Arabidopsis thaliana: one gene and its partner. The protein of the gene in region 2 purifies or fractionates together with the protein of the main gene of each other region. This does not show direct contact. Each region holds a gene or a part of one and is shown on either strand. Other genes may lie near its edges.

Region 1 (6,101 bases), 890 kb from region 2:
TTTATGTAGGGCACAATAACATATGATTAATGATATTTGATTTACATAATAATCATATTAAGAACTATTTTATAATATTAAATTAATTATACATTGTCACCCTTAATATATTTTTAAATTGACATCGCCAAACACACTATTTTTAATTAGAAAGATGCATAGTTAGAAGTACAACTCACTACAAAAATGTAACTTATATATATATATATATATATATATATATATATATAATATTATTTATATTTACTTGAAACTTTAAATATTAAATTGACTAGAACATGATATAGCATTGTTTACTAATTCCCTAGTTTTTATTATCATTTTTAATTAAAATGTAGGTATACTTTACAATAGTTATGACTTCAAATTTGTTAAAGTTAAACTAGAATTACAAAAATAAAAATAGAACTGAAAAAGAATACTTTTATTTTTGTTTATTTTCAGCAGAACATAGTTTTACTTTAAAAAACGATAACAATGAATAAGAAAAATGCATCTAATTACATGAAGACGCTAAACAAGAATGTGGAAAACAAATATAAAATAAAGAGAATAAAAGCCAAAAACATTGTACACAGGGGTATCGAACACTGCATCTAAGATGTGGCATAGGGCACTTATTGCTAAATGATGTAAAAGATATAACCAATCAATTGTTACTAGCTAAAGTTTAAGAAGTAGTATGGGGAACGTGCCCTATCTCATGCTAATGTAGATCCGCCCCTGATTCAGACACAAGGATTCCAAGTCATATAGATCAAATCAAGAATCAAACTAAATTTCAAATAGATATCAAGTTGAATTATTATTTTTATAGTTAGATTATGGAAACTGATGTAAAATTCAAATGTTATATGAAGAAAATGAAAGGTAGTTAGAAAAGGTGATGCCAGTAAATTTTCACACTTGGTGTCAGTATGGATTAGTTACTCAATTTCATTTGATGACATCTTTTCCTGAAAAGAATCTCTTGATTTGTTACAATTAAGCTATCATTGAATTACACTGGCAAATTTGAATTTTTTATTTGGACTAGCCTATCATTTTATCATAGTTGTTGCCAATCTTATGTGTATTAATATACAAGATTTGTTTTGAAGTTAGATAATCCTTGTACAATTTTATTATGGTATGCATCCCATCCTAATTTGTGCATCCCCAGCTTCGACTTGCAGAAGATAAGTGTGAAGAATCAGATGCTAGAGCTAAGCAACTTGAGAAACAGGTATGCAGGTGGTTCATGCCTCAGTATATCATACAAATCTCTTCTTACGTACTGTTTATATTGTTTCATTACCTCGAGATTTTATCACATTTGTAAACTCAAAACCGATTTTTATTAGGTTGAAATCCTTGGAGAAGGTGTTACTATGAACGCACGTCTTTAAAGCAGGTAAGCTTCCGTTCTATTTAAATTCTGGATAACCTTTGACAAAAATTTAATTCTGTGAATGTGTTTCTTGCTTCAGAGAGAGGTTAGTGTCTTATCATTTATCTACATGGTCTCATACATTATTTTTTTATTATAAAGTTCCATGAGGCTTTATGATTCTAGTTTAGATCTTGGCCTATAAAAAAGTAGCATAATCCATAGAACCAAATTCTTTTCAGGCTGCTTTGAGAGTTGCATCACAAAATCATGGAGGAAGGAGGGTAGATGTTTTGGCTCTTCACACAGAAGCTGAGGTACTTCAAGTTTTGATATGTTGTTGTTCTTACGGGTATTTGTACTAACACCTTAGATCTTGGAATCGTTTTAGATTGCTAGGGAGGAGGCAACATCTTCGTTAGAGCACCTTTATAAAGTTGAATTCGAGCTTAACTCTCTTAAGACCGTGACTAATAGATTGATATTGACTCGAGAGGAGTATTTTTAAAGGTTCATACTTTTTGTTTCCATCTAGTGTATTTTTTAAATCGATAGTTTCTCATCTGGAGCTCTCTTTAGGAAGAGATTGTTCTGAAGAGGTGCTGGCTTTTACGTTATTGGGGCTTATGCGTTAGACATGGTTGTACATTGCTTTCTTACACATTATAATCTATAAATATATAAACTTTGATAATGTATTCCGTCTATTTTTGAGACATGACAAAAAAATGCCTCATGATCCTTTATACAGAGCAAATACTTCAAAAATGTCTCTTAAATAATCATCTAATAACAGACCTCTGCTTCTAAAAAAGGATAGAGTCGACAAAAAGAGTTCACATGTTAAGATTTTTTTACCTTTAGTGAAGACAGCTCCCGCAAACCTTTTAAGAACAATAATCTCTACATTACTCTAAGTCATTCATTACATGATAAAAAGAAACACATCAATTATCTGATCTAGTTTCAATCCTTCTTTTTCTCAGCCTGGAGCTTACTCTTAAACTTCTCTGCTTTCTTCTGAGAGGCTCTCTCAGCCCTCTCTGCATCTCTCTCTGCCTTCTTTACAGCTCTCTTGGCTACAGACAAGAATAACTAATTCAGTAAATATACAAGTATTAAATTGTATGTATTGATTCCATGAGTAATGTAGCTTTGTTGTTTGGTTAAGACTTTCCATTTCGTTCCACACAAAGTGATTGTTGAGGAATTACCAATCTCTGATAATGATGTAGAATCCATGTATCCAAGATGATGAGGTTGGAAATGCTGAGATGAATCAATTGCACCAACTATTGAACATAAACTGTTAATATCAATGTCAGAAGAAATCTGTAGAACCATTATCCTAAAAAAAATGGTATTGCCAACACTGTATTTATCAAAAGGTTCAGAAAAAATGATTCAAAGTAGGTTCAAATGTTAGAGATTACTTACTTGTAAATTTTGCAGAAACGTAGTGTCATTTCACAAATTGATGACCGACTAACAATAACTTTTACATTGGAAAAAGCAATATCTTTAACCAAAGTCTCAAGCATGGCTTCCTTTGACTTTCCAAAGTTATGTACCTAGAAGACTAGAACCCAAAATAAAGGAGAAAAATAGTCAACAATTAAAAACACAACCATCCTTGAGAAAGACAGTTACAAAGGATGCCATGTTATGCAAGATTTGTTCAACCTGGTCTCACCTTTGCATTTTTCAAAGGATGCCTAATGTTACCTACATCGTCACTTTTAAAGACGATACCACAGACAACGCAAGATTTGCGAGAGTCTACTCCCAATATCTTGGCAACATGGACATCATCAATGTTCATGGTCATTGCATTCGTTAGGACTTAAGAGCATACCTGTAAACAGATGAACCATTCTATTGCAATAACACTGAAGAAATGAGAAATAATAAAAAAAATCTTACATGAATAAAATACCTCAAGTACTAAAGAATTTAAACTTTTTTGGTTAAACTGCTTGCTAGTTATCATCCTCATTCGGGAAAGAAAAGTCTCTTGCACAACCATAGTCTCTCAGATATCTTAACTTGTTCTTGAAGTATCTCAAGAGCCTACCGAACAAAAAAACAAATATGATATTTATGTTTTAACTCTAGAAATAATAAATAGTAATAAGGACGCATCATTCACCTTTTCCAAGGATTTTGTATATCCCGAAATGTTATCAGTCTCATCTCTTTCAAAGAATCTTTATGGTTGAGAATTGATCTAGCAAAAGGAATGGCTAAATCATCTCTTTCATCTTTCTGCTGCTTAGAGGCTATTTCGGATATGATAAAAAGCTCATCTATCTTATTAAGGATTGATGTTGCCAAGCATAAAAACAACACAGAGATAAGTTACACTTACGTATTACAAAGAGAGCAAAAGTTAGAGATATCAAGTAATAAATGAAAAAATATGTATTGCCTAATAAGTAATTAATAATTTAATAAGAAATAAAAACTATATGAAAAATATTTTTTATCATACAACATATGCTATAATCACTGATCATAAGTCATAACTAGAAATATAAATTTCTATATGCCGTTGTGGTAGACGAAACAATTACGAGCTAACTATCAAATCAAATAATATATCTCTTAGTTACTTGATTTTCCTTTTTCTATTTTACAAACCGTGAGAAAACTTTAAAAACTGTACCTAAACCATAAACAAAAAGATGATAATGCTATTATAATTGGAAAAGGGTACTTTGGATAATTATTACACAATCGTGGGATGAAAACTATAAAATAAATAAATTTAGGTACTATCGATAACAATAATAAATTATTGGGGATGAAAGTATAAATAATTAAAGAAGAAACTGTTCTCAATCCGACCGTTGAAAGCCACTCGCAATTTCTGGCTAAATGACCGAAGATCAGTCAGAGAGAGAAATATGTGCTGCCATAAATGGCAAATTTATTCATTGCTTTTTCTTTTGAAACATTCTTTGAGATTTCTGTTGAATCTAATTTTGTAAGGTTCTGTTTAATTCACGCATTTAATTCTTTTTCCATTTTTCTGGATTTCACTTTTCTGTGATTTCCAAAATTTTGACAAATTTGGTAACTATTTTTTTAATTCAATGTGTGGAATTTTTAGTTCCAATCAAACTGCCATTGATGTGAATGTGATGATGAAAATCAATGTGCTTAATTTTTGTAGTTGACGATGAGAAACACGAGACCTATTCATGTTAGGAATAAGAGTACGGAACCAGGAACACCATCTTCGCCTATGATGACGTCTCCTCTAATGCATCGTCATACACGTTCAGGATCAAATGCTGGGCCAGCTTCGAATGCTAAGAAAGCTCAGACAAAAGCAGCTGCTCAGAGACTTGCGGCTGTGATGTCAAATCAAACAGGGGACGAGGAAGATAGTGATGAAGACCTTTCCTTTGACTATAATGCTATCGGAACAGGGAGCATTGGACTCGCAGCTGGAAGATCTCATCCTTCTCGCTCTCCTGTGGTAATTAAAATTAACAGACTCACTTTTTCACTGTAATGAGGGTTTTGCAATGTAGGGATTTTATGTGATAGTGTTTTCTGGACTGACAGATTAGGAATCCTATGGCAAGGCGTCAACAGATGGCAACTCCACAGTTAGTTGATGAGGACAATGAGGATGATGATTTTTCAGTGGATGTAACGAGCAGTAGACCAAGTATTGGACTTCCTGGTGGAAGAGCAATGAGACCTCAGTCTCCTGTGATGGTCAGTCTAGTTTTAAGTTCTTTTGCCTGCCAAGTGTATCTTGGTTTCAGCTTTCATATGTTGTTACTCTTTTGGTGCAGACTAAGATTGCACCTCCGAGACGTACACAACCAACAAACGAAGGAAATAAGAATGACGGTAATGATGATGATGATGTTGTTTCTATAGATTATACAATTGGTAGACCAAGTATTGGGCTTGGAAGTGGGAGGGCTATGCGGCCACAATCTTCTATGGTATTGATCGACTCTTGAAACTTGTTGTTTCTAGGTTTTTATTATTATTTTCATATTTTAACTATTTCTCAAAATTTCAATATTTTGGAAAGCACAGAACAAAACCCAACCACAAGGGCGTCCGGTGATGGCAGCTCATCAGCGAGCAGATGAGGATAACGAAGATGATGAGACTCCATATGTTTATACAAGCAGCATTCCAAGTGTAGGACTTCCTGGTGGAAGGGCTGCACGGTCACGTTCTCCTCTGGTAATTAGTTTGTTAAACACACTCATTTTGAATCTTGTACTTGTATATCAGCTATAAGAATGTTGAGAGTCATGTTGCTAGTAGTGAAATTTTTGATATCCTTACTGTTCTTGCTAGTTATTATTCGTTAAACTTGATATTTCACTTTGTGTATTACAGACTAAAAACCCTCCACTGAGGCATCCACATGCAGTAGCTCAGCCACCATCCAATGGAGAAAGTGATGTTGATTATGATGAGTCGTATACTAGTGGCATGCCAAGCATTGGACTTGCAGGTGGACGATCAATGAGACCTCGCACTCCTTTGGTAATTTTAGTTCGTAGCTATTCTGTCTCACATTGATACTTTCTCTATTTGAACTTAGTCTCTATAATGTCCCCTCTAATATGAATCCTGAACTAGTACATGTTTTACTACAATGATATTTTGCTAGCTTTTCAGAAATCTGTCATTCAAGAACAGGTTTTATATTCCAAAATATCATAGTACTAGAAAATTGTTTATTGGTGTTTTG
Region 2 (10,491 bases):
AACGAATATGATCAGATTTTTTTTTTGTCACTTGACTAACACATCTCTGATCTCTCTAGACATAGTTTCTAAGATTTAATGTTACCTTCAATGCTTTTAACGAAAATCTGGATCCTTTAAAGGTAGGATATCAAATGGGTTGTCCATGCCCAAATGAGCAATGTCTAAATTAGACGAAACCTAAAAAGAACCATAATAGATTGGACAGTCCATGAATCCAAATAATACATGATATCATGAACACATTTATTCAAAACTCCATACTTAAGTCTTAAGTGTTTCACACAATGATATAATTTCAATACTTCATAAGTTTAATATTAAAAATATAAGTACAATACTTCATAAGTGTAATATTAAAAACTATGGGCTGCCCATGTCGCTTGTCCAAAAGCTGACCATAATTAAATGGACATAGGCATCAGGAATCCCATGGTTTTAAGACCCAAATGACAACCGAAACATTAATCAAATTTTGTTAAGGTAATTTCAGATTTTAACAAGATTCTTGCCTTCTCTGTACTAAAATCAATGTTCAACTTTGGTCACTGGACTCAATCACATATCTGTCCAACCATAAATTTTGAGATGAATAAAAGTTTAGTATTGTACAAATAGAACGAGTAAAAGAGAGTCTCAACACTGAGATTTAACTTTTTGCAACAATCTAAATAAGTAGTTTATAGGTAAGATATGGAAGAAGAAAAATAAGGGAAATAAATCCCAAGTTACCACAATAAATCAAACAAAACCGGAGGGACGGCTCATGCGTTCCTCTTGCTCAATAAGTCATCGCCGACACTCAAATGGAGATGTTCGCCAAGAACCACAGTCGCAACAGGCACATTTTCAATGCAGCTTACAGTTATCTGCCATACAAGATACATTAAAATGATAAAGTAAACGATTTGGGTTAACAAAAGCTTAACTAACGAACCTTCCCATCTCCGGCTTGGAACTCTGACTTCAAATTCGAATGATCCCTTGATAACAAGTATGTTTGAAGCCCGGTTGCAGATTTCACATCTCCTGGAACCATAAATATACACGTTAAACAGAAAGCGAGAGAGAATTGACAGTGAGAATCTATTGTGATGAGATGGTGACTCACCTGAGTATAAAGCAAGAACAGCCTCTTCATTGAACTTCAAAGCCGGTCTAGCCAAACTTATCTTATACGACAACTTTGGAACCTTTTTGACACTCTCATCGGATGTTTCTTTTGGGGTGAATGTCTCATCGGCTATTATGACCTGTTACATAAAAGATAGGAGGATAAACATTAAGCTTCTGCCGTGCAAATAAATAAGCAGATATGGGAGTGTTGATGACTTACTGCATGTGATGGCATTAAACTAGACAAAAGTAAAGTGGAGCCAATTGAATCCTTGATGTTTTGTTCCTGTTCAACAAACAACAGTGATGAGACAGAATTAAGGCATGTGGTTGAAGACATTCATGTTGGAAACATAAATTTTCGTTTGATCCATAGCTGAACAAATAATTACGTACAAGCAATGAAACATTCGTAAATTTCAAGTAGAATTTAAGTTCAGATGAATTGAGTAACAAACAAAAACTAGTTACCTGAGAGACTAGAACTTGTTTAGAAACAGATTCATCCTCGTCCAATGATTGGAAGTACACTTCCACAAAGTCTGTTGGTTCCAGACCTGACTTTTTCCTTAGTTTCTGGATCCTGTTTACAATCTTTAACACAGGGAAACTAAGCTCATAAGCACAACATCGCTTTATATGCAAATAAAATATTAAGATACTGAAGAAGAACCCCACAGAAGATATACAAGTTATAAGAAAATGTATTGCTTTGGTTTCATCTAGGACTAGTACACTATTAGAGAAGTTATATATCTTTACCTCACGGGCAAAACCTGCTTCAACCAAAGAATCATCTGCTCGTAGATCCAGAATCACCAAAACATCACCTGCATCATGAAAGAAAGCAAGTATTATATGTGTATCCTACCAACAGAGAAGTGATAATTAATTACGCTTCTTACCATCTCCAGCTGAATCAATCTCATTCTCTTTCAAATCGTCTGGGCGTTTGAAAACCCTAACAATCTGAACAACACATGAAAGATATGTGTCAGAATTTAGCTATTAACAACATACTCTTAACGCTATCTCACAGGAAAACATCATAGCATGAGAGACCTTGATATCTGTTTCCTTTAGCAAGTGGTTAGCAATAGTAACTTCCCCAGCCTCCTCAAATGCTAAGATATCTTTTTGAGACATTTCTTTAACTTCCTTTGCAACAAGCCCCATCGACTTTCCAAGTCGCTTTCCCAATACACTGCAGGAATGAACATGTAAAATTTCACTCTACATCCCTTTGGAAAGGCTAAAGCACATTGAGCTCAGCGGTTTAAAGAAAAACACAGACAGAAAACTTAACCAACCTGAAATCTGGTTCTGCTTTTAGTGATGCATACTTCAGAGTATCATTGCATGGTACAAGCGATCTCACGTTAAGTTCTTCCAAGACATACTGCAATGCAAAATTAAACAGGATAAATCCACATAGCTATCATTGGCTGATATCAAATGGTTCTCAATAATCTCAAAAAGTTTCATATTTATAATATTAGTTAAAACTTCAAGAAGATAAACTACTGTTCCTGTAACACCACAGACCTCTCTTAGTACTCCAGTTATGTCATTTAAGAAATCAGCATCGGGATGGACTACAATCATTTCCCTGATACAACAAGGATAAGCATGTGTGAATTTTTTTTCATGTTTTAGGTTAACAAAGCAGAAACTGAAAACGATCAAGTACCAACACTCACTTTAGAGGAGTTTTCAAGGGTAGTTTGTTACGCTCACGAATGTTCCGAGCAAGATCAATGATTTTCATCATCCTCGTAACACTTAACTCAATCCTCTCCCCTTCCTATTCAAACACAGAAAGAAAATATAAGCAGGCAAAATTCAGATTACTTTTATTCTCTTATTGGATATAGAGACGTGGACTTGAGTCTTACCATTCCTTCCCTTGGTGGAATACTGCAGTAGTGAACACTTTCCTCAGAACCTTTACACGCTTTCCGCAGATTCTGGTACAAAGTTTCAGTGAAGAAAGGTGTAAACGGGGCCATCACTTTGCAAGAAGTAAGGAGCACCTGAAAATAGACAATAATTAGATATAACAAGTGTTCAAATCATGGTGACCACAAACAATATATCTCTGCAACTATTTTTAGTATACATTGAATAGAGTCGAAAGAGCAGTGTGACAATCATCTTCCCCCGTACGGCCTTTTAATCTCTTGCGGTTGAATCTGACATATATGTTAGTGAGATTGTCGAGGAACTTCAAGAGACGAGGAACCACCTAAACAAGAAAAACAAAAACCAAGATGTAATAAATACCAGGAGACAGTGATGGCGGTTTTCTAATGCGAACACCATATCATGCTGAAAATAACATGTAAAAACCTTACAGTGTAAAGCCGATAGGCATCCATCTCCTCGCGGACAAAACGAACAAGACTCTGCGTAGCTGAGTGAATCCACTGATCAAGAATGTTTGCTGACTGTATAGTTGCCAGATCAGTAGGAACAAAGGGCACACCACCTTCAGTCTCAAGTCTCTTTGCATTCTGAACGAGGAACCGATATGCATTGTACCATGGAAGGAATACATCTTTGACCTAGTGAATCCCAATGCAGGACCAGAAAAAAATTCAGACAACAACCACGAATAAACAGCAATAAAGCAGCAATAAATTCAACCACCAAAATCACTCACAACACCGAGTACTCCTTCTTTTTTGAAGCGTAGTGGCTCAGCACGTACAACCGGAGAATTTATCAGGTACAATCGCACAGCATCCTATCAAGGTTCATGTAAAGTCACTAAGTTATTACGTACACACACTGCCAAGATTTTCTTAGCTAGAGAACATTTGAAAAAGCTCAAAACGCAGCACAAGAGCATATTATAGGGAAAACTTACAGCCCCATACTCATCTATGACTTCCAAAGGTGGTGGATAATTCCGTAATTTCTTAGCCATCTTTTTCCCATCCTCAGCAAGTACAAGACCATTGCAAATCAGATTTTTAAACGCTGGTTTTTCAAATAATGCAGTAGACAACACCATAAGAGTATAAAACCTGTAGATACCCAGCGACAAGTTTAGTAACTATTTATTTTCTACTTAGGAAAAAAATATTGTTTATTATGCCCGTTTCAAAACACTTCTAGAATCACATTTCATAGTAAATTGATCACACCTTCCTTTAGCATCGACTCATAACTTAATTAAGTGCAATCATTGAGGTAACTAAGATCCAGATATCATAAAGTAGAGGGACGGAACAAACCCAGAGATAAGCAAGAAATAATTTGTCAGAAGAGCTTATAGGATATATCAATGTAGAAATCCACTCTTGAAAAAATATGAGAACTGAAATGATATGGGTTTTTTGCAACTATCTTGGGTTGACATGATAAACACTAACTAAGATTTGCAATACTACAAGGTAAAAGGTTTATTTCCATTCTCAAAGACCTTAATAAAAAGCAACCTTTTTTCATCACGTAACCACCAAAATATCAATCCAATAATTTTAAATGCTAAAGCTTAACTAATATTTCTCCCCACAGTCAAGATATGGAATGACATACCATCCACGAGTCTGATCAAGACCTTCAGCCACAAAATCACCAGGAAAGTTCTTCTCAAATAACTCCTTGTTTTCAAACGGATAATGGATATACGCGTAAGGCATTGACCCACTCTCAAACCAACAATCAAAAACCTGTAAAAGCGTATATAAACTTAAGCTTGGGATAAGACCCCGGATAAGTGATAAATGAAAGAAATTGGTTCATCTTACATCTTCTACACGACGGAGCACACCAAACTCATCGCCACGACTAGATGGAATTGTAATATGATCAATATGGTGACGATGCAGGTCAAAGACCTGTACCATAAATCATCAGAGAAACAAATGAGTATTAGACTTTTTGACAACTACATTCTCCAGTACTAAATAAAGACCAAACCCTCATAGAGTGTCATAAAGTTGACAGAACATATAAGGAAGACTTCTAGAAAAATTTATCCAACAGTTGAGTAGTAGCAAATGGTTGCATATAAAGGTACCGAGATCATGACAGTAGACTTTCCCAAAGCATCAGTGAGCTATTTGCTGATATAAAGAGAGATGTAAATAAAACAAAAGAAGAGACCTTAACACCAGAGAGCTTTTCAAGCTTCTCTACGGAATCCATGATCACAACTTCCTCCCCATCATCACTTATCCATATCGGAAGAGGCGTGCCCCAAAATCTACTTCGGCTGATTGCCCAATCCCTTGCATTTTCGAGCCAATTGTGAAAACGTTTATCCTGAATTGCACATTAATCAAAAAAATGTATTCATATCAGAAACTTAACAAAACGAACTAGTAATATATACTCAGAGTACTGATCCTTTCTTCTACCGACCTTCACATAACCAGGTACCCATTCTGTCTGTTCATTGCTTTTTAACAACTTTTCTTTCAACTGCTCCACACGCACAAACCTAACAGGTCAAAACACAAAAAAAAACTTTAAAGTCATAACCACACCTGAAAAACGACAGAATAAAGTTCATAAGTTATGACCATAACTACGTGCCATTTAGGTCAGATGCTACATATGAAATCTAAAATAAATAAATGAAAACATGGGAAATCAAAATATCCTAAACAGTTTGGTGATTATTCTGCAAAAAAAATACACAAAGATACCTAATACAGCTCCGAAAAGGGGCTGCCAGATATAATCATAAGAGCCAAAGTTCAAGGCAAGGACAAGAGAGACCGTCTCACTGGAACTAGCACTAAATGATCCAACTACTAAGACCTTAGCTCAAACTCATATGAAAATGAAGCATACCAACTTGGAACTGCTCTATATATGAGTGGGGTGTCTGATCGCCAGCAAAATGGGTATGAGTGAGTAAAGCTTCCCGTTTTAACAAGCCTGCCCTTGGCCTGAAATAATAAAAATAATATTACTTCATGAAACAAATCACCTACAGTAAAGAAATCCAATGGTCCAAAAAGCACTTAGATTCTCTAAGAAACAGATAAATCATTATGATCTGAACTGACTAATTATCAAGCATCGGTAATCACCTTAACGGCTTCAATTATATCCTTGTCTGCATCTTTGACATAACGGCCACTGAAGTGGGTAATTCTCTCAGTAAACAACCCATCATCATCAACAGCAACAACTAGATTCTCCCCCTGCAACATATATAGAACATTTAACACAATGAGATAAAGCAAGATTATTAGAGTAAACTGAGAATGGGTTCTTGAAGATACTGTAAGCCTAAACAAGAGAGAAACAACAAATGAGCAAAGTTCATGCCTGATGTTAGCAAGGGTGATAAGGAAGATGTAGTCAAACCTAACCTTTTTGATTATTTTGTTCAAAAGACAAACACGATAATCATCTTCACCAAAGGCAGGAGCACAGTGGACAATACCAGTACCACTGTCATCAGTGACATAATCATCTGCTACTACTCGAAAGGCCTCACTTGAGAAATCACTAAAGTAATCAAACAAAGGTTCATACTTCTTCCCAACCAGGGAAGCTCCATTAAATTTCTCCAAAACTTCATAAGAATCAGCTGCACTCTCAGGTTTAGCACCTTTAGCTTTAGGATTTGCTTTCTTAGTATCACCAGCAGGTCCATTACTTAACTTGGCCTTAGGCTTATCAGTGGGAAGAGCAGACAACCGAGATTCAGCAACAATGTACACTTTTCCAGTGTTCTTGTTACGAACCTTCACATAGACAAACTTCGCATTTACACACAAAGCAAGATTGCTTGGAAGAGTCCACGGAGTAGTAGTCCATGCCACAAAAGCAGCATTATCTTGATCCCCAATAACCGGAAAAGTCACCATGATTTCAGGATCAGGGACTTCCTGTACATACACACATTCTACCAATATCAGAGATCAAACTATACAACACAAATCAATCACCTGAAGAACACAATAACAACAACATTACCTTATAGTTCTGACCAGCTTCAAAATTAGATAAAGGTGTCTTACAACCAGTACTGTACGGCATAACCTGCAAACCAGAATTGACCCAAATACAAAAATCACGATCCACGAAACTTCAAAACCACATCAATGCAGGAAGAAGAATGCCAAACAAACCTTGAATCCTCTGTAAACAAGATTCTTCTCCCAAAGCTGAGAAAAAACCCACCAAACACTTTCCATAAAAGGCAAATCCATAGTCTTATAATCATTCTTAAAATCAATCCAACGACCACACCTAGTAATAACCTTCTCCCACTCAGCAACATAACGAGTCACAATACTCCTACACTCTTCATTATACTTATCAATTCCCATCTTAATAACTTCATCTCTCCTCTTAATATTCAATTTCCGATCAATCTCATTCTCAACAGGTAAGCCATGACAATCCCACCCAAACCGACGAGTGACATGGTGACCAGTCATGGTCTGATACCGAGTCACAATATCTTTAATCGTACCAGCGAGGATATGTCCGTAGTGAGGAAGTCCGGTGGCAAAAGGAGGTCCGTCGTAGAAGATGTACTCAGGAAGATTCTCAGTGCGTTTGAGCTGTGTCTTGAAAGCATCGATTTCAGTCCAGAAGGAGAGGACATCTTCTTCTTGACGAGGGAATGAGAATTCTTTTCCTTCGCATACTTCTTCCATGGTGGAAACGGAAGAATCAATCACTGACGAAAATTAGGGTTTCTGCAGAGTTTTTGTTCGGCGCAGATGATATCAAAGTCCCCGGCGTTGAAGATGAAGTTTTGGTGCGTTTTTGTTTATTAATGGGCCGTAGTAAGCCCATTAACTTGTTTGTTTTCTTTTTGGGTCAAACTTCCACTTATTGGTATTAAAAAATCGATTTAAGGAAGAAGGAAAATATTTTGACTATTATGAAACTGTCAAATGGTGGTTGATATACTGAACCAGATGAATTAGATGAATAATGATGAAAATATTAGATGAATAAACTGTTAAATGATGATCAATAAGATAGTAGTTTAATATTGATTAATATACATACTTTAATATAATAAGAAATGTACTAAAATCTAAAATCCAAGGCCAAATACAAAACAAATTGACGCTTTTCTAAAATAAAAACTGATTTATTTTTCCTAATTATGAGACATTGATAATTTTTATTTATTAATTTTTGGACATTTTTTGTCAATTATGGAACTTTTTACTAATTATAAGGTATTTTTGTTAATTATGGGGCATTTTTGTTAATTTTGGGGTAGTTTTGCTAATTTCGAGGCTTAAACAAAACAAAAATATCTGCAAATGGGTCGCAAAAATTTAAGACCCAATACAAATGTTTCATAATAATTGGTGAAAGTTGGACCTAAGTTTATATGAAATCATGTGGTCTAGAACTTATACTAGAATATATTTCAACATTAGTCCACAACATCAATCTGAATATAAGGGTGAGTTTCAAACTTTTCTTTAGGCATATATTATGTTCACATCAGATAAAAATTACATTGAGTGGCTCGTGAATACACTCAACAGAGTTTTTTTTAACATTAAAACATGCATAGAATTTTTTCAAATAATTTTCTCGTACAAAATATGCAACAAATAATGATAAACATATTTTTAAATGCAAAATAGTTTTATATAAAATGAAAAGAATTATTACTTGCGATAGAATCTATAAGCCTTAATCTTTTATCATTGTGCTTATAATTTTGTCCAATCAAATTTCTCAACCTTTATTGGTTTATTATAGACTCATTGCGATCGAGTAATTTTTACTTATTCTAGTTTTTCTTATAAATAAATCATTAATTATTGCTATGTGATATATTTTCTTTCAAAATATTTTATGAATCAATAATTTTAGTGGTTAAAAAACTATGTGAAAGTGAAAATAAAAACACATGTAGTTGGCTTTATGCATTCATATAATCATTTTATACGTGGTGGGAATGAGAATACTTCAACAAGAAAATATGATTGTGAGTAAACACATTTTTAGTGGTAAAGTAGACGATAGATTTGTAAATAGATGTAAATTAGATGATGATTTGACTAGTAATTTCCATGTATAATATTTTTCGAATAAGGAAAAAACGAATATATAAATAAACAATTCTCAAAATAAAATATTATATATTTATTTTCTACTTACAATAAGATTTTAATATATCTTTTTGTTAAATTTATTTTAGTTTTAAAAATTAAACATGCATATTGGATGGAGTTTAATCTAGTTGAATCTAAAATTTAATAGTTTTACGAAAGATTTGTTATTAATTTTAGTTTTGAAATTGAGAATAAAACTAATGAGGCATCAATCCATTAAATATATGTAAGAACAAATCTTCATATATTATATAATATGTTTGGCAAATATATATAAAGTAACTGAAAACAAAGTGAAAATTTGAGAATAATTGTGGGTTTTTTAGTTTTATGTATTAAAAAAAATGTTGTTAATGAAAATCCATATTATTATGATATAAAACAAATTCATTATGAATATAAACATAACAGATATCTTCTATAAAATTCATTATGATATAAAACAAAAGATTAAAATAAAATAAACATAACAAATATCGCTTGTGAAATGAGATCTATATGACTATTGGGCTGAAGTTGGGCCTTGAGAAATAAGAGTGCGCCTTATAATATAGGCCCATTTAAAGTATGTATTGGCGAATCCACGCCGAAAGAGAGAGCGAAAGGGACGATGAGCAACAGAAGAAGAACCGGAGACGATGACAAAGGATTGCTCTGGAAACTTCCCCAAGTTAGGATCAGAGACATTGGAAAAGTTGGTCCAGCTTTTGGACTCGGTGTCGGTTGCGGATTTGGTTTCGGCGCCGGTCTTATCGGAGGTAAATTTCTAATTTCTCCCAATTTTGATCGCAGACTCGCGAATCGCTCGAAGCTATTTATAGATAGTTTTGGTTTAAGAGAGTAGAGATTGGTTTGATGAAAACAGGTGTAGGATTCGGACCAGGAGTTCCTGGATTACAATTTGGTCTTGGATTTGGAGCTGGTTGTGGAATTGGTGTAGGTTTTGGCTATGGTGTTGGAAGAGGAGCTGCTTATGATCACTCTCGTTCTTATTACAACGTTGGAAAACCATCTCTGTGAGTATTTGTCTGCAATTAGATTTTTAGTGATTAAGGATTTGAAGAAGAAGATGATGATTTTGACTTTGGTGATTTGTTGACAGGAATGAAGTTGATTCACTGATTGATGAACTTGTTGTTAGCACGAAGAAGCTTGTGAAAGCTACTACAAATGAAATCGACAAGTGGTTAAAATGATGAACTTTTAGGATTTGTTGCAGCTTCCAAGTAAATGGTAGTGTTTGGTTTGTTCTTAGATCAATAATGTAGATTTGGGGCTAGTGATAATCTCCTTTCTTTTTGTACAATTTTAC

The links. Proteins that work in one complex are often made in the same cells at the same time.
Region 1: the proteins of AT4G10320 (region 2) and AT4G08640 fractionate together in Arabidopsis thaliana (co-fractionation; one large-scale study listed by BioGRID). This does not show direct contact.

Annotation. Positions count from the first base shown.
Region 1 is NC_003075.7:5,510,409-5,516,509, reverse strand, and holds AT4G08640 (ATP binding protein), read right to left. Parts: upstream 3,198-6,101; coding exon 3,063-3,197; intron 2,941-3,062; coding exon 2,807-2,940; intron 2,718-2,806; coding exon 2,584-2,717; intron 2,449-2,583; coding exon 2,336-2,448; downstream 1-2,335. Other genes in the region: AT4G08630 (fas-binding factor-like protein), read left to right, coding at 4,551-4,853, 4,943-5,098, 5,179-5,334, 5,432-5,584, 5,744-5,893.
Region 2 is NC_003075.7:6,396,762-6,407,252, forward strand, and holds AT4G10320 (tRNA synthetase class I (I, L, M and V) family protein), read right to left. Parts: upstream 7,912-10,491; 5' UTR 7,749-7,911; coding exon 7,215-7,748; intron 7,126-7,214; coding exon 7,060-7,125; intron 6,972-7,059; coding exon 6,450-6,971; intron 6,279-6,449; coding exon 6,165-6,278; intron 6,021-6,164; coding exon 5,923-6,020; intron 5,567-5,922; coding exon 5,488-5,566; intron 5,389-5,487; coding exon 5,230-5,388; intron 4,962-5,229; coding exon 4,872-4,961; intron 4,794-4,871; coding exon 4,660-4,793; intron 4,146-4,659; coding exon 3,986-4,145; intron 3,863-3,985; coding exon 3,779-3,862; intron 3,681-3,778; coding exon 3,471-3,680; intron 3,362-3,470; coding exon 3,236-3,361; intron 3,150-3,235; coding exon 3,012-3,149; intron 2,921-3,011; coding exon 2,817-2,920; intron 2,726-2,816; coding exon 2,662-2,725; intron 2,516-2,661; coding exon 2,427-2,515; intron 2,321-2,426; coding exon 2,179-2,320; intron 2,086-2,178; coding exon 2,022-2,085; intron 1,947-2,021; and 13 more. Other genes in the region: AT4G10330 (glycine-rich protein), read left to right, coding at 9,790-9,937, 10,045-10,195, 10,282-10,375.